Arabidopsis thaliana: one gene and its partners. The protein of the gene in region 1 interacts with the protein of each later gene in a pairwise test. Each region holds a gene or a part of one and is shown in the gene's direction. Other genes may lie near its edges.

Region 1 (5,576 bases):
GGGCTCTCGAGTCGGACATTGAGTTTACTGTCAATTGTCAAAATGAAATGATTGGTGCAATGGCTAATGATGGGAGCCTGGAAAAATTGTTACTGGATCCACAAGTTTTGGCATTTGAAATAGAGACAGAACTCTTTAAGTTATTTGGTGGTGTAAATAAGAAATATAAAGAGAAAGGAAGGTCTCTCTTGTTCAATTTGAAAGACAAGAGTAATCCTAAACTCAGGGAAAAAGTTATGTATGGAGAAATTGCAGCAGAGCGATTGTGTTCCATGTCAGCAGAGGAACTTGCTTCAAAGGAACTAGCTGAGTGGCGACAAGCAAAAGCAGAAGAGATGGCTCAGATGGTTGTTCTGCAGGACACTGAGGTGGATATCAGAAGCCTAGTAAGGAAAACACACAAAGGAGAGTTCCAAGTGGAAGTTGAACCAATGGATAGTGGTTCTGTAGAGGTCTCTGTTGGAATGAGTTCGATTAACTGGTCTCGAACAAAGAATTTTAAGAAGAAAACCCCTTCCATCACGAAAACTCTTGGAGTCAAGAATGAATTGAACAGCTCTAATGAGAGCACTGGGCCAATAAACGGAGTCACAATAGATGATGAGATGCAGGCTGCCACTGGATCTCTTCCTCCAATTGTCTCTCTTGATGAATTCATGTCATCCATAGATTCTGAATCTCCGTCTGGCTTTTTGTCTTCAGATACTGAGAAAAAACCTTCTGTTTCAGATAATAATGATGTAGAGGAGGTTTTAGTTTCATCACCCAAAGAAAGTGCTAATATTGATCTTTGTACATCACCAGTTAAGGCTGAGGCATTGTCACCACTTACGGCTAAGGCATCATCACCTGTTAACGCTGAGGATGCTGACATAGTATCGTCAAAGCCTAGTTCTGATTTGAAATCCAAAACTACATCTGTTTTCATACCTGATGGTGAACGTTTATGGGAAGGTGTGCTCCAGCTGAGTCCTTCTACTGTGAGCTCTGTCATCGGCATTCTAAGAAGGTTTGTAATAAATTGTTTCATGAGTGGTAGCAAACCTATCTCAGTATTTTTTTTTTATTCCACATTTCCAAATTTAGGTTTGCATATATGAATAGCTTTCTTTATTTAGTCTACATGTTACTACTTATCTATACTATTCTAGTGCTTATCAGCTCTATAAAATGTTTTTTTAATGAATATGGCTTCGCTGTTATTGATACCATGTTTACCAACCTGATTTTTACGCTTCACAGTGGCGAAAAGACTACTACAAAAGAGTGGCCTATTTTGCTCGAGATTAAGGGTAGAGTCAGATTAGATGCATTTGAGAAGTTTGTTCGAGAGCTCCCAAATTCCAGGAGTCGTGCTGTAATGGTATTTGTCTACACGTTTACCTCTATCATTAATGTACATGTTTTATATACGCATTCTGTGTTTGAGCCCCTGCAAAAGCTATTAACTGTGACGTTTAACCAAGCTTAAGTAGAAGCATTTAGGAAAGAAGAGGAGAGATTAACGGCCAATACTGATTTGTGAATGATTGAGAAAAATACATTACATCTGTGAATCACAATGGAGATAGATGGACTTACAAAAATATTTTCACCAGAACAATTGCATAGCTTATGTTTCTTGAATAGGCCTCCATATTCCAATAAAACTAAGACCTGTTTGTTCTCGATTCTATATGTATGTGATGAACTCGTTTATCCATCATGGTACTTCTGAAACCTTGCTTTCGTGTTACAGGTTATGTGTTTCGTCTGCAAAGAAGAGTGCTCAAAGACAGAACAAGAGAACATTTCCGAGGTATGAGCGTTGGTAGTTAACCAAGATTCTGTGTATCCAAATAAACGAAAAGATGATTAAAAAAACTTGAGATTTATTTGAATATTAATGATTTATTTGATCAAAACTGAACGCGAATCTGTACAAACTGAAAACCCAAACCGAATTTAAATTGAAACACTCCTAAATATCTGTAGAATGTCTAACTTGGTAACGAAATTTGGGCATTTGGTTTTGTTACTATACAGGTGGTGGATTCATACGCTAAAGATGGGAGGGTGGGTTATGCAGAACCAGCTTCAGGAGTTGAGCTATACCTATGCCCAACCCGTGGGAGAACTGTCGAGATTCTAAACAAGATTGTTCCGAGAAACCAACTCGATTTCTTGAAATCTATAAATGATGATGGTCTTATAGGTGTTGTTGTATGGAGAAGACACACAATTTAAAAAATCACCACTATCTAACAACTCTCACAAGAACCACCGTGAAAAGGGTTCTTCGTTAACCACATATAATACTTCTCGTTACAGTAACATGCTACAGGTCAACAATGACGATGGTGATGATGTGCCACCGGGGTTTGGCCCAATGACCATGGCTCGGGATGAAGATGATGACTTGCCTGAATTTAACTATTTTTCCAGTGGGGATGTTGTCGTGAACCGGACAAGCCGGTCTGTATCTGTAAGAGAGCTTATTCAAAAATATGGAAAATCTGAACCTTTGAGGAACCAAAGTTATAATGATAATGACAATGATATACTACCAGAGTGGCAGCCTCAATCTAACTGGACTCTTGGGGTTACTCATGTAAATGGTGGCTCGATGGTTAGACCATGTAGTGAGTGGTGGTCTCATCAGGATGGCAGAGGAGGATATTAATTGTTTTTTGTTTCACCTTAGCAATTTTGTGTTTGTTATGCATTTTCTGTTGCAGGCAACACTGCTTTCCAAATTTTGTGATTTTCTCTCAACAGTCACCGATATTTGGCACTTTATTAGTAAGATGGGCTTGCGCAGCCCGCTAATATATTGCTCCTTTCTGTAACAAAAAGTACAAAAGTAACAAAATCCACTCCTATCGATTATACTATAAAACAGAAGTGCAGAGAAAATTTCAGTCATGATATTTTTTGACCAGCTCGATTCAGAAATTTGGAAAGACTAGCTTTTTTTTCTCTCGGGTTTCACTTTTTAAAGGTCGTGAAAATTTGGGAATCACTGATCAATTTTGTTAATATGATTTCCTGATTTAGGGTTTCTCTGCATGCCTCTAGAATCAGCAAGTGTAAAGCAATTACCATGGTGACTCCGAAGCAGATCGATTTCTCTTCCTGTGGTGGTGGTGATAACTCCGACGATACCCTCTCCCATCGAGAATCTCCACGGAATCCTTCCTCAAAGCGTGCTGCTGCTTCCTTCGCAGCAGAAGCAGGCGAAGAGACTATGAAGAAGAAAAAGAAGAAGAAGAAGAAGAATTTGGGTCCGCCGTTGATCGTCCGGATCTGGAACGAGGAAGATGAGCTCTCTATCTTAAAGGTATTCTATTCATCTTCTCCGTTACACTTTGATTTGGTTTTGCATTCTGATTTTCTCAAAACCAGATTCGAAATTTCTCAGGGATTAGTTGATTACAGAGCTAAGACAGGATTCAATCCCAAAATTGATTGGGATGCGTTTTACAGTTTCCTCGGAAGTTCTATCGTTGCGAAATTCTCCAAGGAGCAGGTTTTGAGTAAGATCAGGAAGTTGAAAAGGAGATTTCATGTTCATTGGGAGAAAATCAGTGAAGGGAATGATCCGAAATTTACTAGGTCTAGTGATTCTGAAGCCTTTGGATTTTCTTCGATGATTTGGGGACAAGGTGAATTTGGTAATGATGATGGTATGGATAAGGAGATGGTGAAGGAGCACGATGTAAACGGAAATGGCGCAGCTGAAAATGGGACTGCTCGAATAGCACAGGAGAACGAGAGTGGGGAGGAGATGTTAAAGGAGCATGAGGAAACGTTAAATGAGAATGGTGCAGAGGAGATAAGAGACAACGACGAGACTGCTCGGAAAGCACAGCAGCTCGAGAGCGAGAGCGAGGAGGAGATGTTGAAGGAGCATGAGGAACCCTTTAATGAGAATGGTGCAGAGAATATAAGAGACAATAACGGGACTACTCAAATAGCACAGCAGAGCGAGAGCGAGAGTGAGGAGATGTTGAAGGAGCATGAGGAAGTGGCTAATACTGAACTTGTAAATGAGAATGGGGCAGCGAAAACAACAGAGAACGGGACTACTGGTGGAAAAGAGAGACATGATGACGATGATGATGATGAGTTATGCGCTGTGCAGGATGCATTTGAGGCTGTAATGTCGCAAGGTTTAAGTGGTTATCAAAAGAAGTTGCAGCTTGAGAAGCTGATGAACCTTGGAACTGGAAAAAGAAGAGAGTTGAGTGATGAATGGAAAGCGTTATGTGTTGAGGAAAGAAGATTGAATATCAAGAAGCTTAGATTTTCCGCCAAGCTTGCAGAGGCAGCTAATGATAGTTAGATGAAACCAATAAGCCGTTGTAGCATTTGGTGTTAATTAGGTTCTTAGTAAGCCATAAGCTTTAGTCTGTTCAGTGTATATCTTTGGATGTTGTCTTTGTTCTGTTTGGGCAAGTGTTTGTAAGACATTCCAGTTTTAACTGAAGTATCCAGAAGAGCCATCCATGTCCATTGTTGGATATAATAAATTTCATTACTTTCTTGTTGCACCAATCAGTCAATGAAGTGGCAAAACATTTTATATGCATTCCCTAACAAAAGGCATTTACAATGTAATTTTTACATTTTTAACCACTAAAAGGCCAGAAGAAGTGCACAAAGAAAGACTGACCAAATAATAAAATAATTTTTCTTGTCGGTAGTCACCAAAACCATGCTATTCCAAAATGCACTTCCTTTGCAACAAACGGCTTATATCCATATGAATCCGACAGAGGAAGACAAAAGGATTTAGTCTTGTGATGTAGCAGAGTATTCAAAAAGCAAACGTTTGGAAGGTGCAGATTGCAGAAGGACACGCAAGCGGCTCGTGAGCTGGTAAATAAGTGTCCATTGCATTGCCATCTCAGAATCTTTCATCTGTCTTACCACAGAGGCCTGTAGATAAAAGACAGCAAGAACCGTGGAGTGCTTATTTTGGTTAGGTTTTGAAAAAAATGAGGCCATATGGAGAAGAAAGAAGATTTCAATGTTTATGCCTGACCTGAAGACGTTTTCCGAGCTGCACTTCAACTTCCGTTCCAAATGATATGTTGCTCGCCAGAGACTTGAGAGGATCCACAGTTGGATCAACAGAGAGTAAACTTGGGATCTGCGGAGCATACACCAACCTCCATCTCGCCTGACCAAACTCTCCTTTTCCTTCTATCCTTGGCATTATGGTTCCAAGTGTTGCGGTTGCAAGTTTTTTGAAAGCAAGTTGTCCATCTCCTTCTAATATGGATTCTGCTAATTGGCTCTCAAACACCTTTGCAGCCTGCGAAAGGGAGATTATTAAACAGAGATTTCCATCAAGAAGAAAACACAACAATTTCCAAAATACAGCTACATTTTAACTTCAAATTTACCTCCGAAGGTGAGAGAGCATCCTGTTCAACAGAACGTGTTGAAGTCACGACAAGTTTGTCCTGCCAATTACTGGCACGACTTTGAACCCTAAATTGCCATTCTGAACCAACTAAGGCTAAATCTAGCAGAGGATCTAGTCCATGTTCAGGCTCAAACTTTGCAACGTTGAGATGCTCCCTCTTCAG
Region 2 (6,320 bases), on another chromosome or scaffold:
GATTCTGAACTTCGACAAGTCATGAATGCCGAGATCACCTGCAAGGCGAATCAATTGCCTTCACGACTTATCATTGTCAATGACAAGCCTTTAAGTGAAGATGAGCTTTACACGTTGCAGACATGTCCAAATCCACCCAAGAAGCTAAAACCCGGACACTATTGGTATGATAAGGTTGCTGGCTACTGGGGAAAGGTACAGTTTCTTATATATGTCTGCGTATCTATTATCGGGATTGTATTTTGAGTGCTCAGCTAAATCAGAGCCTCTATGTGTTTATTTAATCAGATAGGAGAGAAACCTAGTCAGATTATAAGTCCTAACAACAGCATAGGAGGATACATCAGTGAGAAAGTAAGCAATGGAGACACTGAAATTTATATTAATGGCCGGGAAATAACCAAGCCAGAGCTCACGATGCTCAAGGTTCTTTTGCTTTTCACCTTTGTTTTGGATAACAAATATGCTTAGTGTATGTGTCATTGTTCTGAACTGAGCGCTTCTTTGCTTTGATGTAGTGGGCGGGGGTGCAATGTGAAGGAAAACCTCATTTTTGGGTCGATTCAGATGGTTCTTACCGAGAAGAAGGTCAAAAGCATCCCATCGGGAACATCTGGAGTAAGGTATGGTTTCCTGATCACCAGCTTTTCTCGTTCACAACATTAAATATAAAACTAAAGACAACGAAGGATATTATTTTTACAGAAGAGAGCAAAAATTGCTTGCGCTGTGTTCTCTCTGCCAGTTCCTCCGGCTTCGTCTGCAGTAGAACCATATGATGTGCCCTTATATGAGCAGAAGATGCTTAACAAGCTTCTTTTGATTGGTAGCGAAAAAGGTGGCGCCACTACAATTTACAAACAAGTGAGCTATTCATCTTAATGCCTCCCACTTGAATGTTTCACATCTAGTAAAGAATCGGGAATTGACTTCTTCTGTTTCAGGCAAGGTCTCTCTACAACGTCTCATTCTCTTTAGAAGACCGTGAAAGAATCAAATTCATAATCCAAACAAATCTCTATACCTATCTGGCAATGGTTCTTGAGGCACATGAAAGATTTGAAAAAGAGATGAGCAATGACCAGTCTTCAGGTAATTATTATTGACTGTACAAACTATTAGAATAAGAATGCATTCATATTCTAATACAAACATCAGTTAACAATTGATTATTGAGGAAGACTGATCGAGTTCTTGGGATTTAGGCAATGTGGGAGATGAAACCAGTGCAAAACCAGGTAACTCGATCAACCCGAGACTAAAACATTTTTCAGATTGGGTTTTGAAAGAAAAGGAAGACGGAAACCTGAAGATATTTCCACCATCAAGCCGTGAGAATGCTCAAACCGTTGCAGATCTCTGGAGAGTACCAGCTATTCAAGCCACCTACAAAAGACTTCGCGATACACTTCCCAGGAACGCCGTTTATTTTCTTGAAAGAGTAAGTTTACATCAAGTTGCCTGCTTGCATATATAAACGCTCTTTCAGGACCTTAACACTTTTGTTTAAGGGGAAAAAGATGACTGACCCAAATTTGTTTCTTCTCAGATTCTTGAGATCTCGAGATCAGAATACGATCCTTCTGATATGGACATATTGCAAGCGGAAGGACTCTCCTCTATGGAAGGACTTTCTTGTGTGGACTTCTCATTCCCATCAACTTCTCAAGAAGAGTCTCTTGAGAGCGATTATCAACATGATACAGACATGAAGTTAGTTCTGTTCTTTTTCCTTGTGTTGCATTCCGGCTATATGAAAAACCGTTGAACTTACCCTCTCTCTCTCTCTCTCTCTCTCTCTCTCTCTCTCTCTCTCTTTAGGTACCAACTCATCCGGCTAAATCCGAGAAGCCTTGGTGAAAACTGGAAATTGCTGGAAATGTTTGAAGACGCTGACTTGGTGATATTTTGTGTCTCACTAACAGACTATGCAGAAAACATAGAAGACGGTGAGGGGAATATTGTGAACAAGATGCTTGCAACCAAACAGCTTTTCGAGAACATGGTGACTCACCCGAGCCTAGCTAACAAAAGGTTTCTTTTGGTTCTAACCAAATTTGATCTCCTAGAAGAAAAGATCGAAGAGGTTCCTCTAAGAACCTGTGAGTGGTTTGAAGACTTCAACCCATTGATCAGCCAGAACCAGACGAGCAGACACAACCCTCCAATGGCTCAGCGTGCTTTCCATTACATTGGATATAAGTTCAAGAGACTCTATGACTCAATCTTGGAACCCGTAAATATGCGTGGAAGGAGCTTTAAGCCAAAATTGTTTGTTTGTCAAGTGAGCTTGGAGAGTGATACTGTGGACAATGCACTGAGGTATGCGAGAGAGATTCTCAAGTGGCATGTTGAAGAAACTTCCATGTTCCAAGAGATGTCTACTACTAGCATAGAGGCCAGCTCGTCCTCTTGATATTTTTTCCTAAAATTCTTTCTTTCTTTGTGGAAATTACATAAGTTTGTTTCTCTCTCTGTGTGTATGTTTGTTGTATATGTAGTAGTGTGAAGATACATTCATGTGATTGATTTTTCAGGGGAAAAAAAATAGAGAAATAATAAAGTGAATTTTCCCGGTTTAACAGACATTTACTTATACGGTTATTGAGGTTGAACTGGACCGGAGTAGCAATAAATTATCGGTTCAGTTTGGGAGATCAAACCGTTTAAAAGAAAATAATTTGAAATGGCCACGCAGAATACGAGGGTCTGAGGATTGTACCTCCTTTCTCTGCAAAAACTTAAACGTTGATTTGACTCAAGCGTCAAGGTAAGGTACTCTCTCTTCATACAACATTTTAGCTTTACTTTTTCTCTTTACTCTTCTCTCTCTCTTTCTCTTTCTCTTTCTCTTTCACTCGTTCTCTCTCACTCACTCTCTTCACACACAGATCCAAGATGGCCTCTTCAATGGCTAGCAATGATTTCCAGCTCCCTCCACGTTTCTTCACTGTTTTCGTCTCCCATTTCAGCTCAGAGTTCATGGTAAGATTTTCTCTCGAGGTTTCTTCTTTCAGGTTTATCTGTTCATGAGCAAACGATTCTTGAACTGGGTAGATTCTCTTAGCCTAGTGGTTTCTTTGAACTATGTCTGATGGTTTTTATGAAACAAACACTGTGTTTATCTGCATTTAGCTTCCTCTATAGATTTTGCTTTTTCTGTTTCTAGGGTTTTGCTCTTATTCCTACCCTTTGGTTTCCTTTTTCTGACTAAAGATTTAAACTTTCTGTATGAATCAGCTTAATTTATGGACTTAACACTGGATATGTTTGGTTACTGGAACTAAATTTCATCAAAGTATAAAGTAGTTTTGCTCAGATTTTGTTTTCTTTTTCTGTTGATGAATAGAAACATTTGTTCTGCTTCTAAATGCTGAAAGATATAAAATTTTGAGACTGGATGCTTTGATTTTGTCTGGTTCTGGAAAGTTGACTCTTTTAACTGTCCCTACGCTTTTGGTTGAAACCAAATCTTGTTGTGTGTGGAAAGCCTCTTTAATGACTCTCTCCGACTTACCTTAAAGTTATCTTGTTTTTTTTGTGTCTTTACTTATCTATTGAGTGTTTGGCTTATAAGTTAAACAATTTTTCTGTGAAATGAGCAGGTGATCCCAGTTTCCTACTACGATCACATTCCACATCGTTTCCCCAAGACTGTGATTCTCCGAGGACCTGGTGGATGCTCCTGGAAGGTAGCGACGGAGATAAAGGATGATGAAGTGCTTTTTTCACAAGGATGGCCCAAATTTGTTCGGGATAATACTCTTAACGATGGAGACTTTTTGACCTTTGCCTATAATGGAGCTCACATATTCGAGGTCAGTATCTTTCGCGGCTACGACGCATGTAAAGAGATTAGCGAAGTCACTGAATTGGAAGAGGAAGAAGAAGACAGTGTTATATCTCTGAGCAGTGAAGACACAGACACTGGTGCTAAATCTGAGATGAAGAATACAGTCCCGGAAGGCAGAGACAAAGGTTCATTGTTAGCTTTTTTTCCCATCACTTGCTTTTATGTGATTTTGCTTGTTTTGACTTTTGAGATTTTTGTTTGCAGGAAAGTCAAAAGTGGAAGTTGTGGAGGATTCTGATGACGATGAGGAGGAGGATAGTGTTTATTCTGAAAGCAGTGAAGAAACAGAGACAGACACTGATTCTGAATTCAAGGTGGCCAAGCCAACAATACCAAAAAGCCAGAAGAAAGGTTTTAAACTCATCGTTAGCTCATTGCATAACTTGAATTGTTTCTTTATGTGATTGTTTTATATATTGACAATCATGTCTTCTTTGTTGAGATGTTTTCAGGAAAGAAGAAAGAACAAGTTGTGGAGTCCTCTGATGACGAGGAAGACGAAGAGGAGGACAGTGACAGTGATTACATTGAAACGTTTGGTCAATTGGATATTGAAGAGAATTCCATCAGTGAGGAGGACAGTTCTTATGCTCCTGATAAAGAAGACACAGCCACTGCCTCTTTTGTCAAACCAAAGGTTGCAAATAAGGTTGCTAATCTGAAGAGGAAAGGTAAAATACATTTACTTTCATCACTTTTAACTTCATTTCTTCCATGCTTATCTTAATGCAACATTGCTTTGTCTATGGAACCAGAGGCGGCAAAGAAGAGGAAGAAAGGTAATCACATTGTTGTCTTAATTAGTTCCATCACTTCATTATGTAATTGATTTTTGAGATGCTAATGCTTTTGTCTCTTGAGATTCTTACAGTCGATCCCATGATCAAGAATCCTGAGAGATACCTCGATGATCCTAAGAATATCCATTTCGAGACAAACGTGAAGAATAGGTTATACGAGCTGGTAAGAACTGCAACTTCTTGTCCTCATATACTACTACTCTTTTTAACTTAAAGATTGTTTTCATTAACGTTCTTGTCTGCTTTGTGTACGTATCTTTTTTACAGTTGGTTCATGCACAACTGGTGAAAGACTATTGCTTGAGGTTTGGAGACTATGTTAACTACATCGACAGGTTCGGGAAACTAAGTGCTAAAACAGCCAAATGGAAGGATCAGCGTGTTTGTATCAAAAGATGGATGCGCATATGCAAGAGGAACAAGTTGAAGAAAGAAGACCGCATTTTGTGTGAGCTCTTGCGCAAGGGAACTTTCGTTTACGCAATCAAACTCCATGTCATCCGCGGTAAGGATCTGTAGACGCTAGCAGTATGAGTAGAGGAAGAGATTTGGCTACTTAATTATCTCTCTGATTTCCATCTTGTTGTGTGATCAAGCAAACTTATGTGTTTCATTATTGTCTACTTCAGATTGTATGACCTTCTCTCTTGTTCTCTCATGAATCTATTTCTGAATACAATATCTAATCTTTGAGCTAAAGTTTAACTCTTAAACCCTTGAAAGAGTAAAAATCCTTGAAAAAAAAAAAAAAAAAAAAATCCTTGAAAGAGTAAAAATCAAAGAAAGGTCGAAAACTGTATATTTGTCTTAGCTTTTTCTTTCTACAATCTGTTTTTGGCAAGATTTTCTCTTGAAAATTCTGAAGAATCTAGGTATACTGGTTTCCACGGAATCTCCTGTAACAAAGATCAAAGTAGAAGAAACAGAGGACTCATTCACTAAATATATAACCTTTGAGGAAAACTAAATAAAATATGTACCTTCCTTCTTCATCCTCGTGATATCGCTTGTTGATTTCTCTTAAATGGAAGCTGCTTCACCAGAAGTGAGGAGAAACAAAGAACAAATTAGTGAGAGGAAGTGAGAAATGACCTTGAAAGCTTTGTGACATAATAATTGTGAATTTTGTGATATAAAACAGAGTAGCTACTCTGTTTTTAGTCCAAAAATAGTAACTTCCATTATCAGAGTAAAATATACTAACCAACATAAAGTTTGATTATTTTGAAAACTTTGACTTGGATCATTATTTATTTTATAGTTTACCATGTCGACGTTGGATATTTCTTTTGTGAATTTTTTGGCCTACAAGTTTTTTTTTCAATTCCAGTTTTGTGGGTCCTATCGTCACGTTTTCGAAAACCTCTTCTTTTTAATTGAATGTTTGCTTTCATCTTTACAAAACAGAGCAAGCTACTCTGTTTCGAGTCCAAAAATAGTAACAATCATTATCATAGTAAACATACAACTAAACCAACCCTAAAGTTTTATTATTTTTGAAAACTCTGATTTGGATCATTTGTTATTTTCTAGTTACATTACCATGTCGATAAGGGAATGATATTTATTTCGTGAATTTTTGGCCATACTTCCATTTTTGTGGGTCCTTACTCCTTTCTTGACGTTATTTTTTAAAAACCTATTCTCTTGAATAACTTTGATTTCTT
Region 3 (5,957 bases), on another chromosome or scaffold:
GGGTGTCCTTGCTTTGATAGGCTGCAAATAAATCAATCTTGATGTGCTTCAGGACACTAAATGAGTTAAAAGCCCCAACGGGCTTCGAGATTCATATGGGAATATAACTTGTTTTATGACTTGTATTTTGCAGTACCCAAGGGCAACAGAAGAGCGTGTGCCTTTATCTTCCGCTCATAACAGGACTTCCTCTGCAATCTCTACTGGTGTTGTAGTAGTAGACACAAACTTAGAGACATCATCTCCTGATGCTTATATACCACCGCCACTGCCTACCCCTTTCGATGTGCCTATAGGGATTCCTCAAACACCAGCTAGTGGTGAAGAGGCTACTTGTGTTGATATAAGAGAGGTTTCGGTGGACTCTGCTAATACCGAGTCTGCTCAAGAAACAGTTGATGGTATTACTCTCGGGGTTCCAACTACATGCTCACATAAAGAGACAGATAGCAAAATCCAAACAGAGATTGATCTTGAATCTACTGAAGAAATAGACCCGAAGCTATCAAAAGCTGTTTTTATACCAATAGAGGAAGAGGAGGATTGTCCCATATGTTTGGAAGGTAAAAGCTTGTTTGCCTTTCCCACATCTCAAAAACATATAAACATAATCGTACCTTACATGACTGCGAGAATGGGTTATTTATTATATTGTCTGTGCTTTTGATTCAGAATATGATATCGAGAACCCGAAACTTGTAGCCAAATGTGATCACCATTTTCACCTTGCATGCATTCTAGAATGGATGGAGAGAAGTGAAACCTGCCCCGTCTGCAACAAGGTACATTCTTTTATTCACTTCTCTTTGGTGTATGTCGAAAAACTCTAATCTCTAAGTAAACCGTAAATAATGAGTAGTTCCAATTTAGCTTGTTTACAAATTCATTTTAATTCCCGGGATATGTCTGAGAGGATCCGTTTGTTCTGCAGGAAATGGTATTTGACTCTACTCTTGACTAGCAACCCGCAAATGCCGCATCTTAGAAGGCTCAATTCTCTCTGTATCAGAAGAAAGAAATTGGAGAACAAGAGAAAAACTTAAAAAGAAAAAATGGGTAAGAATACACTAATAGCTGATCACAAAGTTGGATTTACGAAACATGTCAGTGTTGATATACATATGTTTGTGTACAGACGTTTCAAATCGTCTACAAAAAAACGGAGATTAAGAATTAGAGTTTGTGCTTTAGATTCACTTCTGTGAATAAAAAACGAGACAAAACTGATAATTTTTCTTCTAGATGTTTTAATTTTGGTAATTCTTGTTTATAGGTTATTTTAGGAGTGTTTTAAAGCTGGGGTTTCAATTTGGGTTTGATTCAGTTTTTTCTTGAGTTTAAGAAAAATATTAATCAAACTGAAATTGAGAGTTTGTTATGTATGGATTGGGTTTATTACGGTTCGATTTTAGTTTGGTTTAGTGCTTATTTATTTTCTTTATGTTGTTCTGTGATATGTAATATGAAAATTGTTTATACTTACTAGTTTGTAGTGTTTATGTTTTAGATTTCTTAGTTCTTCACATTTTCGAAACTTGGTTTGTTTAGTTGTCTCATTAGTTGAATATGTGATGTCGTATTGTCGTACATCTTACTTACATGAGTACGTCAAATTAAATGAGACTTATCTAGTAAATGATATTGTTACATGTAGATGCAATATTAGTCATTGCTTTGTTTAATAAATAATATTTGTCACAAGTGAGTAAGTGACAGATGAATAGTTGCTAATTATAGTGAATCATGCTAATGGTATATTGGACAAATATTTTTATTTTTTAAAAAATTTCCTGTCTAATTTGTTTTTTCTAGTTAAATACTTATACAGATTCATGTTTTTAGACTGTAATCGGGCATGACCATCCAACTATTTTTGTCGACCAACAACTTCAACGCGCCAGAAAAGCGTTTTGAGTGACCATTACTGTGTAAAACAGTATAAAATAGAGGTTTTTTTGTCACGCCATTGGTTTAAATGAAAAATTAAATTTAACAAAATTGAAAACTTTAAAAATAATAAAATCAGATAAACATAAGCGAACAACGAATAAAATGTGCAAAAAAAATCACCAAGTAAAGTAATTTGTATAAAAATATTCTTAGGGTTCTAGTTACTAATTTGTATACAAAACATAACACCAAGTAAAGTAATTGCTGTAAAAAACACTAATTAACATATTCTTAAGAATTATAAACACTAATACTTAGAGATACTTTAGGTACTTATATCGAGTAATATTTTGACTGAAAATTTACTATTTGACTATTCAAATATGTTATCTTAAGCCATTACAATCTCAAATACAAAAGAAAAAGAAACAAAAAAGAGGAAAAATTAGGGAAGTAATAATGAGAGTTTAATATTCTTAGTTAAATAGATTATACTAATAAATAATGAGGTATACAAATAGTTACTGATTTTAATGAATCATCATAAATAGTATATTAAACGTTTTTTAAAAATTTCTTAAAAATTATTTTTTTGAACTAAATACTTTACAGATTCAAGTTTTATAAAATATATTCCGAAAATATCTACGTGTTCGAAAAATATTTATTTTACGTTCAATTGATTCATTGTTTCAATGTCATTTATTATTAGACTATAAATATAGTTTAACTATGTGATTAAAAACCTTTTCTAAAATTTAATAATAATTACTATAAAACTTTATAGATTTAAAAGAAATAACAAAAATATGATCTAACTTTGGGAGAAAATAATTAAAAATTTTTAGGGAGAAAGTAATTGAAAAAGCAAAACAAAATCACAAAATTTATTACTAGTGAAGGGAGTGAGATTCTTATTTCTAACAAAGGATATATATTTAGAGATACGATCTCCTTCGGTGGTTCACTCCCATCATCGATGTACGTGAAAATATATAAATAAAAAATCAATAAACGAAAATCTTTCCTTTTTCTCTCACACATTTTTCTTCATCTCCACTCGAATCCGGAAGAAGAACAAAAACCAAAAAAAAAACCCAGAAAATCAGAGAAACATAAGCGAACCGACAGAGAAAAAAAATGTCTTCGCCAAGCAAACGCAGAGAAATGGATATGATGAAGCTGTAATAACTTTCTAATTTTTTTCTCTGTCGGTTTCATTTGTTACTTTTGATTTGAGTTTTTTGTTTCTATGATTGATTTGATTTGATTTTATATTGCAGGATGATGAGCGATTATAAAGTGGAAACGATCAACGATGGCATGCAAGAATTCTATGTTGAATTCAATGGTCCCAAAGACAGTAAGATTGATCTTGTCTGAGAATAATCCCCAGTTTCGTTGATTGTTGTCTCTAAATCAGTCACTAGTGTGCTATTTTGATTCTGTTACTTGTGAAAATGATGATAAGGGTATTTGTAATTCTTCCTGGTTTTCTTAGATTTTGTTCATATTAGTGTCAAAATTGCAATCCGTTATTTGTGGTGGATTCGGATCTACGGCGGTTCGATTCCACCATGTTTACACACTGTGTGTGGTTTACTTACTCGTGGTGGGCTTGCGAGTTTGCTCACCACGGGATTAGTTAGGCGCTTCGGCGAAGTTCGGTTGGGATACTCGGGTGTTAGTTGTGAAGAACTGTTGTTAAACTATTATTTGTGGGTTTAATGTGTGTGTTGGTGATAGGTCTCTATCAAGGAGGTGTGTGGAAGATAAGAGTTGAGCTTCCAGATGCTTATCCTTATAAATCTCCATCTGTTGGTTTCATTACTAAAATTTATCATCCTAATGTTGATGAACTGTAAGTCTTTTTAAATTCAATCCACTAGATGTTTTGGATCAATTTATTTCAATCTTTTTCATCTTTGGTCTCCTTTGTTTATGCAGGTCGGGTTCTGTTTGTTTAGATGTGATTAACCAAACTTGGAGTCCTATGTTCGGTAAGGGCGATATCAAATGTGGTTTATTTTGAATATTTGGGATCAAATGATTGCTGTTGTGATTTAACTTTATGTTTTTGGTTCTTCTTTTTTTCAGACCTTGTGAATGTGTTTGAGACATTTCTTCCTCAGCTTCTTCTGTATCCAAACCCATCAGATCCATTGAATGGAGAAGCTGCTGCGTTAATGATGCGTGATCGTCCTGCTTATGAGCAACGAGTTAAAGGTAAGTCGACTCAGATTCTCATGTTAAGAGATATATCAAGATTCTGACAAATCTGTTAGTTTCTTTCTCTTTTTCTTTTATTTGCTTGATGTGAGGTACACATATTTGCTTGGACCTGTTCTTAATGTGTGCGTTCGAGATTACCATTCTTAACACTAAGAGTTCCTCTCAGTCATTTTTCGTTTTAATGAATTAGAGCTTTTGTTTGGTTTATGTGTGAACTGAACTTTCGTAAATCTTGGAGCTAATGTAATGATCTGCAAGTGATTTATTCATTAGAATCTCATGATGAAGATAAAAGTTTCTGATCATTTTAAAGACTTAGGCATTTACAAGGTCTTGATAATGTTATGGGGATATTACGGTTTTTGGGGATATTTTGAGGAAGTGTGATGGTTATTTTGCTCGGCTTTGTTGGGTTTGCGGTTTCAGAATACTGTGAGAAGTATGCAAAGCCAGGGGAAGGTTCAGAAGATAAGTCTAGCGATGAAGAACTAAGTGAAGAGGAATACGGCTCAGATAATGAGGATGATGATGATGATGATGTTGCAATTGCTGGCAAACCAGATCCTTGAACCAGCTTTGGTAGGGGACTTGTTTTATTGTATATGATCATGAATTATCTCTGCTTATAACTCAACTGTGAAATCTATTTCTCCCTTTGTGCTTTGTTCACCTGTTTAATTTATCGGACCGGACGTTTGTGTACATTATTAGACCGAACCGAATTGTTAGTCTTTTCAATTTCAAATAAGTCTCTCTTACCGGTTTATACCGGTTATTGATTCGGTAATTTCTTTTCTTGAAGGCTATATGCATCGTTTAGATTATAAACGCATTGTACATATCCGTCTCAATAGCCAAAATTTACTAAACGCATTGTTCGTTTTGATTTGATGATCTCATCCACTTCAGTGGCCGTGTTAGCCTTGTACAAGTAAAAACTGTTCCTCTTCTCTGAAGTTTCACTGTTTATCCGTCTTATCATCCTCTGCCAAAAAAAAAAAAAAAAAAAGCGAAGAACGTCTTCTGATTTGCTCGTATGAATTTTCCGACGATCCCTCATGAATCGAACGTTGTCTCCATCAACGTCGGAGGCCGAATCTTTCAAACAACGAAGCAAACCTTAAGCCTAGCCGGAACCGATTCTCTCCTATCTCAACTCGCTACTGAGACAACTCGTTTCGTCGATCGTGATCCCGATTTGTTCTCCGTTCTTCTCTATATCCTCCGTACCGGAAACCTACCTGCTAGATCACGCGCCTTCGATGTTCGTGATCTCATCGATGAATCTAGATACTATGGAATCGAGTCTTTCTTAATCGATTCTCTCTCGAATTCGTCGCAGTTCGAGCCGTTCGATCTCCGTAGATCTAGGATTCTTCAATTGAACGGTCGAGATTCTCCGTCGAGTATCTCACCGACTGTAATCGGCGGAGGTCTCCACGTGGCGCACGGTAGCAAAATCACTTCGTTTGATTGGTCGTTGAGGCAAAAGTCGACTGTGTTGACTAATTTCTCCGCCGTGGATTCGCTTCTAGAGATATCTCCGGGAGTTTTAGCTGCCGGAGCTACCGATTTCCCTGGTTTGCAAATCATCGATCTCGATAACGGCGGATTCGTTCGTACGACTCTGAATTGGGAAAACGTTACTAGGTCTAGCTCAACGGTTCAAGCCATAGGTTCTTCTCATGAGTTTTTGTTCACTAGCTTTGAATCTAGTAGAAGGAACTCGAATTCGATTATGGTGTATGACCTTTCTAGCTTGTTACCTGTGTCTGAGATTGATCATTGTGAGATCTATGGCGCTGATATTGATTCTGCGATTCCATCGACTAAGT
Region 4 (5,758 bases), on another chromosome or scaffold:
GTCCCTTTATCTCGTAATGTTGTTCTTGAAGAACCGGTTTTTCTTCTGTAAATGGTTTTTGCAGGTTCCAACAAGAAGTTGAGGACAGTACCATTATCTGAGTCAGATATCTTTCCTTCTTCATTCCACAAAACACCAGAAGGGAGAAGGAAGCTAACGAAGGAAGAGTTGCAAAAATTCACTAAAGAGAGCACGGAAAATGCATTGAAGGAATTGGTTTCTTCACCTGGTTTTGGCGAATGGGCGGTGAAAAATGCTAAAAGAATCACTGTAAATCCGATAAAGGAATCGTCAAGTAAATAGGGTGATACTGTTAAGCGCAGAAGAAGGTTCCTCTGGTTCTGAAAAGCAAGCAGCTAGGGGAACTTCTGAACCAGTCGGAGAGTGTAGTAGGTTGCTTGTGAACAAAGCAACAAGCCTTGCTTATATATAGTCTTCTGGAAAAGAACTAATGAGCAAGGCGAAAAAGTTGAGAGATTAACTTCTAAATCAACAAAATGTAACCTTTGACATAAATTGATATTGACCAATAAGATCATACGTTTCCATGTGTGTAGTCATCAATGATGTGAAACTCAATACTATAGTGTATTTTATTTGAATGGACGATGATAGTTGGTATAATAAAGGAGGAAATAAATAAAGTCATCTTTTTGTTATTTAACGGCTGAAATTTCAATAGCAATTTAATTTGAATGATTCCAGTTCCACAAATATGAGTTGGTCATCTATATCACATGTAAGTTTTCTTAGTTATATTTAAAAATCATTAAAATCTAAGAGTAGTCCTTGGAGAGAACATGTCTCTTGTCTCCTAAACCTCCTTTATTATCCATCATCATTGTCACTAACCCTATTATTATTCCATTCACAGCGAAGAAAAAGAAGCAAAGAGTTCGTTATAAAGAAAGAAATAAACCCTCAGATAAGAGCATAACAGAGAAGAAGAAGAAGATGTCTTATCAAGACCCACAACATCCCGTTAGTGCTCCTCCTCCTCAAGGTAATTCCCAATTTTTTCCAAGTTTTTAGGGTATTTTTGTTTCTTGTTTCTTAAGTTTCGATGTTGTTGTTTTGTCAGGGTATCCTCCTAAGGAAGGATATCCACCAGCAGGGTATCCTCCACCAGCAGGTTATCCTCCACCACAATATCCTCAAGCGGGATATCCTCCAGCAGGTTATCCTCCACCGCAGCAAGGATACGGTCAAGGATATCCAGCACAAGGCTATCCTCCACCGCAATATCCTCAAGGTCATCCACCACAATATCCTTATCAAGGTCCTCCACCACCGCATTATGGTCAGGCTCCACCGAAAAATAAGAAAGATAAGAAGGATTCAGGAGGCTTCATGGAAGGATGGTGCGTTGACCAATTATCTCTCTCTTTTTATATTAACATATAGTTTTGAATACTTGAAGCTGATGATATACCTTTTTTTGGTTCATTATTCATAAATTTTGGTATGGAGTAATATGGATATTCAAAGTCTATATGTTTGGTACTTATAAAATGTGTATTTGTTTTGTATTACAGTTTGGCTATGCTCTGCTGTTGCGTTCTCTTGGAAGCTTGCTTTTGATCGGAAGATGAGCTGATATTTGCCGTTGACCGTCTTGAGGATGCTATTCAATTTTGTCAAACATGTTAAAAAGACGTGTTTGATATACATTTTAGATCTCTTCTTCTGGTTATGTGTGTCCACGTTTTGGGTTTGTTTCTTTAATTTTCTTTAATTTTATGAATGAATCCGAATTTGACTTGAGGTCTTGTTTACTTTCATGACTATTGATTGATTCAGGGTATGTTACCCATCTTTTGTATATGTGTGTTTTATCTTTTGTATAAAAGCCATTCATTCTTTCCAACTAGAGGAACACAAAAAAAGAAAGCAACCCAATTTTGTTCTCTTTCTCATCAAAAATGTAAGAAGAAGTGACTGTATCAACGTGATCAAAACTTAGCATTACCATCAAACTTATATAAATTTATACTTACGGTCCGATATATTTCCATTTTCCGTCTCAAACATATATGTCACATCCACCATTCCTCGGTTGATCAACTATTCAATGTACAAATTTTTATAAAAATACTACTAAATCGTATATAATCTTGAGTCTTCACTTCTTATATTTAATGTAAGAGAGTGGTTTAGTATCCACCGATTAACTCGGTTCAAACCAAAAATACACCAAAATGATATGACTGAATTGTGAAATCAGTCCAAGAACTAAAAGTCGATGAGCTCGGCATCGACCTCCATGAAGATAAGGAAAGATTCACTCAAATCTTAAGAAATAATACGGTAAAGAATATTAGACATATTCCCATCCGAAAAATAAGAAGCTCGATGACCAAACAAAAAATCCGTAATTCTATTTTCGAAAACCCTAAATTTATTATATTACTAAAAAATCTCTTGTAATTGTCAAGTTTACTCTCAAAAATCATTTTTCTTGAATCTCTTGTTTACTCTAATTTCTACTTTGCTTTTACTCGCATTGTTAATTTAATTTCATAAATTAATCCCTAATAGATCAAATGGGTGTATTTTTGCAATTATAAAGTTTAAGACGAATTTGTAAAAATGAAGATAATAAAGGGCTCCCAGTAAAGCACCTCAAAATCGATACATACTTCATCCTCCAACATGCGTAGGTGAATCGAAAGATTAAAGGTCAAATTTTTGTGTCTTCTCTTCCTCTGTCTCATGCCACAATTTTTAGATTTCAAACTTTGATCCATGACACTCTCCATAGCTTCCTCTCTCATTCCCTTCAGCTTTCTCAGGCATGTCTTCTTCTTCCTCTTCTTCTCCTTGTTAATTTCCCCATTTCCCTGATCGAAAGCTTTAATCTTTTTCTCGTGCGTGTCTTCGTAATCTCTGGCGTTTCTATTGAATTACTAATGCAATTGAAAAACTTGGGGATTTCATTATAAAGTATTGATCTTTGTGATGTTTTCATCTGTTCACAGAGAATTGAAGTCGAGACATTAGAAGTGTTTGTTGTGTGTGTGTGTGTGTTTCTATAGAATTTTTGAATTTTGTGATAAAATTGTGTGAATGGGAGCTCCAAAGCTGAAGTGGACACCAGAAGAAGAAACAGCTCTTAAAGCTGGAGTACTTAAACATGGAACTGGAAAATGGCGTACCATTCTCTCAGATCCTGTGTATAGCACAATTCTGAAGTCTCGTTCTAATGTGGATCTCAAGGTAAAAACATCAACAACTTTAAAGTGAAGAGAGATTATAGAAAAGTTCGAAACTTATACTATTGTTGTTGTCTACAGGACAAATGGAGAAATATAAGTGTAACAGCTTTATGGGGATCTAGGAAGAAGGCTAAGCTTGCTCTTAAAAGAACTCCTTTGTCGGGTAGTAGGCAAGACGATAACGCTACAGCTATTACCATTGTGTCTTTAGCTAATGGTGATGTAGGAGGACAACAGATTGATGCACCATCTCCTCCTGCAGGTTCTTGTGAACCTCCAAGACCTTCTACAAGGTTTGGTCTCTCTTCTTGTATTTGTATGAATTCTTGATGCTGTGAATGTGGAATATGGGAATAGTGAGGAATATAATAGGCTTGTTTTAATGTGTTTGTTGTAGTGTGGATAAGATTATATTGGAGGCTATTACCAGCTTGAAGAGACCATTTGGTCCTGACGGAAAGTCGATCTTGATGTATATAGAGGTACAATGAAGTTTTCCTTCTGTGTTTATTCGTTGTGTCTGTAAATAGTTAAGCATTGCTTACTGCATCTATATACAATCATCAAGGTCTTAGTGTTGCTGTAAATTTTCAGGAGAATTTCAAGATGCAACCGGATATGAAACGGCTTGTGACTTCAAGGCTGAAGTATTTGACAAATGTTGGAACATTAGTTAAGGTATAAAGAGAGATACTTTGATCGAAATTTCCTCTTGCAAATGTCACAAATTTAGCACTGACTTAACAATGGTTTTCTTGCGTTTGTTCTCACCTTTCAGAAAAAGCACAAATACAGGATTTCTCAGAATTATATGGCTGAAGGAGAAGGACAAAGGTCTCCTCAACTCTTGTTGGAAGGAAACAAGGAAAACACTCCGAAACCGGAGGAGAATGGCGTCAAAAATCTTACTAAATCCCAAGTAGGTGGAGAAGTTATGATAATGGGTATGACAGAAAAAGAAGCTGCTGCAGCAGCTGCAAGAGCTGTGGCAGAAGCAGAATTTGCAATGGCAGAAGCTGAAGAAGCAGCAAGAGAGGCAGATAAAGCAGAAGCCGAAGCTGAAGCTGCCCATATTTTTGCAAAAGCGGCGATGAAAGCTGTGAAGTATAGAATGCATAGCCAAACTCGGTAAGAATTAAGAAAATCATTGATGTTGTATCGGTTGATATATCTTCAATTCTTCATGTTATGTCAAGTTTCGATCTTGCATCGAAATCAACATTTTACAATCGCCGCAGTGTTTTTAGTCAGTAACAGTGTCTTCTAACTCAGATGATTATGTAAAACCTGTTCCTTCTCTTGCTTCTGTTGATCTGGTTTTGTTAGTAACTTCACAGGTTTCTCGTGAACCATTTTGAAACTGGTTTGAAAAGATATAAATAAGGCCTTTGATTTGTATACAGAGCTTATTTCCGTTTCCTTGGATTTTTAGAAGTTGAAAAATTGAGACACTTATGTTTTTGTTGCAAAGCCTTAAGAATAGAAAACAACCTCTTGAGCAAACTAGACCAGACCAGACCAGCAGGTGAGACAGAAGACAAATAAAGACAAACTCTTGTTTCACGCGAAATTAGTTCAAGACTCATCATCATCATTAACCAGACAACAGAGGACGAGTAAGAAGATCAAGAAGAGAGAACATATGATGTTCTTGTTGAAGTTTAGTTCTTTGATTTTGAGTGATTTACAAGCCAATCAGTGAGCTGATCAATGGTGGTAGGGTTCTTGCAGGATATCATGAGACAGCAGACTTCTCTACTTGTAACCGAACTAAGCCCCCTGCAACAAAAACAAGGCAAGAAGCATAATCAGATCGAGCTAAATGAGATGCCTTTAGTGCTGTTTTTGGAGTGTTCAGATGAATAAAGAGCTATACATTTCTTCTGTCAAGGCTTCTTTGGAAAGAGCTCCATGTATGTCAATCTTGTTCCCAAGAACCAAAAGAGGAATACCAATAAGCGAAGCATTGCTCAACAAATCATGGAGTTCACTTCTCGAGACACTCAAGTTTTCAGTATCTGCAGCATCAACTACGTACCTAGAAATTGGAATCAACATGAAACCAAGTTGTGAATAAGCCAAGCAATAAAGATAACAGAGAAACCTGCCTCTAAGATCCTTACACAATCATAGAAACAGCGCGACAGTAACGTTCCCACATGCAGCGGAATCTTGGTTGACCACCAAGATCCCATAGTCTGATTGCAACATTTTCTTTTGTCACTTTCCTCATGTTAAACCCGACCTGATAAACCCACAAAGACGAATCTCTTCATGTTGTTCCAAAAAAAAAAAACAGGTTTTGGATCGAAAACCGTATTTGATCAAAGATGCAGTGTAACAATTACCGTAGGAATCATGTCTTCACTGTATTCACCAGTCTAAACAAGTAAAAAGACATCATTATATCCCCAACCACCATCATATAAGTGTTAAAGAGATTATCAAAATGGAAGCATAGTATACTTACTGCAACAACATTAACAAGTGATGTCTTTCCTGAATTTTGAAGTCCTACCAAAGAAAGCTCCATTTCTTTTGCT

What was found.
Region 2: the proteins of AT2G25650 (region 1) and AT4G34400 interact in a two-hybrid assay, tested with the Arabidopsis thaliana proteins (one large-scale study listed by BioGRID).
Region 3: the proteins of AT2G25650 (region 1) and UBC4 interact in a two-hybrid assay, tested with the Arabidopsis thaliana proteins (one large-scale study listed by BioGRID).
Region 4: the proteins of AT2G25650 (region 1) and TRB3 interact in a two-hybrid assay, tested with the Arabidopsis thaliana proteins (one large-scale study listed by BioGRID).

What each region holds. Positions count from the first base shown.
Region 1 is NC_003071.7:10,911,683-10,917,258, forward strand, and holds AT2G25650 (DNA-binding storekeeper protein-related transcriptional regulator), read left to right. Parts: upstream 1-2,828; 5' UTR 2,829-3,082; coding exon 3,083-3,319; intron 3,320-3,400; coding exon 3,401-4,324; 3' UTR 4,325-4,534; downstream 4,535-5,576. Other genes in the region: AT2G25640 (SPOC domain / Transcription elongation factor S-II protein), read left to right, coding at 1-1,009, 1,243-1,363, 1,739-1,798, 2,026-2,226; emb2410 (embryo defective 2410), read right to left, coding at 4,774-4,920, 5,027-5,299, 5,391-5,576. UniProt on the Arabidopsis thaliana protein: Probable transcription factor. May play redundant roles with GEBP and GPL2 in cytokinin responses by regulating the transcript levels of type-A ARR response genes. Involved in stress responses.
Region 2 is NC_003075.7:16,442,425-16,448,744, forward strand, and holds AT4G34400 (AP2/B3-like transcriptional factor family protein), read left to right. Parts: upstream 1-2,716; 5' UTR 2,717-2,775; intron 2,776-2,783; exon of another isoform or gene 2,784-2,891; 5' UTR 2,892-2,898; coding exon 2,899-2,985; intron 2,986-3,605; coding exon 3,606-3,978; intron 3,979-4,057; coding exon 4,058-4,204; intron 4,205-4,305; coding exon 4,306-4,524; intron 4,525-4,608; coding exon 4,609-4,632; intron 4,633-4,724; coding exon 4,725-4,816; intron 4,817-4,920; coding exon 4,921-5,172; 3' UTR 5,173-5,349; downstream 5,350-6,320. Other genes in the region: XLG2 (extra-large GTP-binding protein 2), read left to right, coding at 1-195, 289-426, 519-623, 706-864, 945-1,092, 1,206-1,441, 1,550-1,713, 1,822-2,416.
Region 3 is NC_003076.8:16,537,030-16,542,986, reverse strand, and holds UBC4 (ubiquitin conjugating enzyme 4), read left to right. Parts: upstream 1-2,797; 5' UTR 2,798-3,030; coding exon 3,031-3,074; intron 3,075-3,173; coding exon 3,174-3,253; exon of another isoform or gene 3,254-3,617; coding exon of another isoform or gene 3,618-3,636; coding exon 3,637-3,751; intron 3,752-3,837; coding exon 3,838-3,890; intron 3,891-3,987; coding exon 3,988-4,116; intron 4,117-4,548; coding exon 4,549-4,691; 3' UTR 4,692-4,924; downstream 4,925-5,957. Other genes in the region: AT5G41350 (RING/U-box superfamily protein), read left to right, coding at 134-563, 673-782, 932-961; AT5G41330 (BTB/POZ domain with WD40/YVTN repeat-like protein), read left to right, coding at 5,159-5,957.
Region 4 is NC_003074.8:18,486,385-18,492,142, forward strand, and holds TRB3 (telomere repeat binding factor 3), read left to right. Parts: upstream 1-2,608; 5' UTR 2,609-2,792; exon of another isoform or gene 2,793-2,978; 5' UTR 2,979-3,066; coding exon 3,067-3,216; intron 3,217-3,293; coding exon 3,294-3,508; intron 3,509-3,612; coding exon 3,613-3,697; intron 3,698-3,809; coding exon 3,810-3,893; intron 3,894-3,993; coding exon 3,994-4,347; 3' UTR 4,348-4,612; downstream 4,613-5,758. Other genes in the region: AT3G49840 (transmembrane protein (DUF2215)), read left to right, coding at 65-303; WIH3 (cysteine-rich TM module stress tolerance protein), read left to right, coding at 955-1,003, 1,082-1,361, 1,536-1,581; ARLA1B (ADP-ribosylation factor-like A1B), read right to left, coding at 4,877-4,994, 5,092-5,253, 5,339-5,460, 5,564-5,596, 5,686-5,758.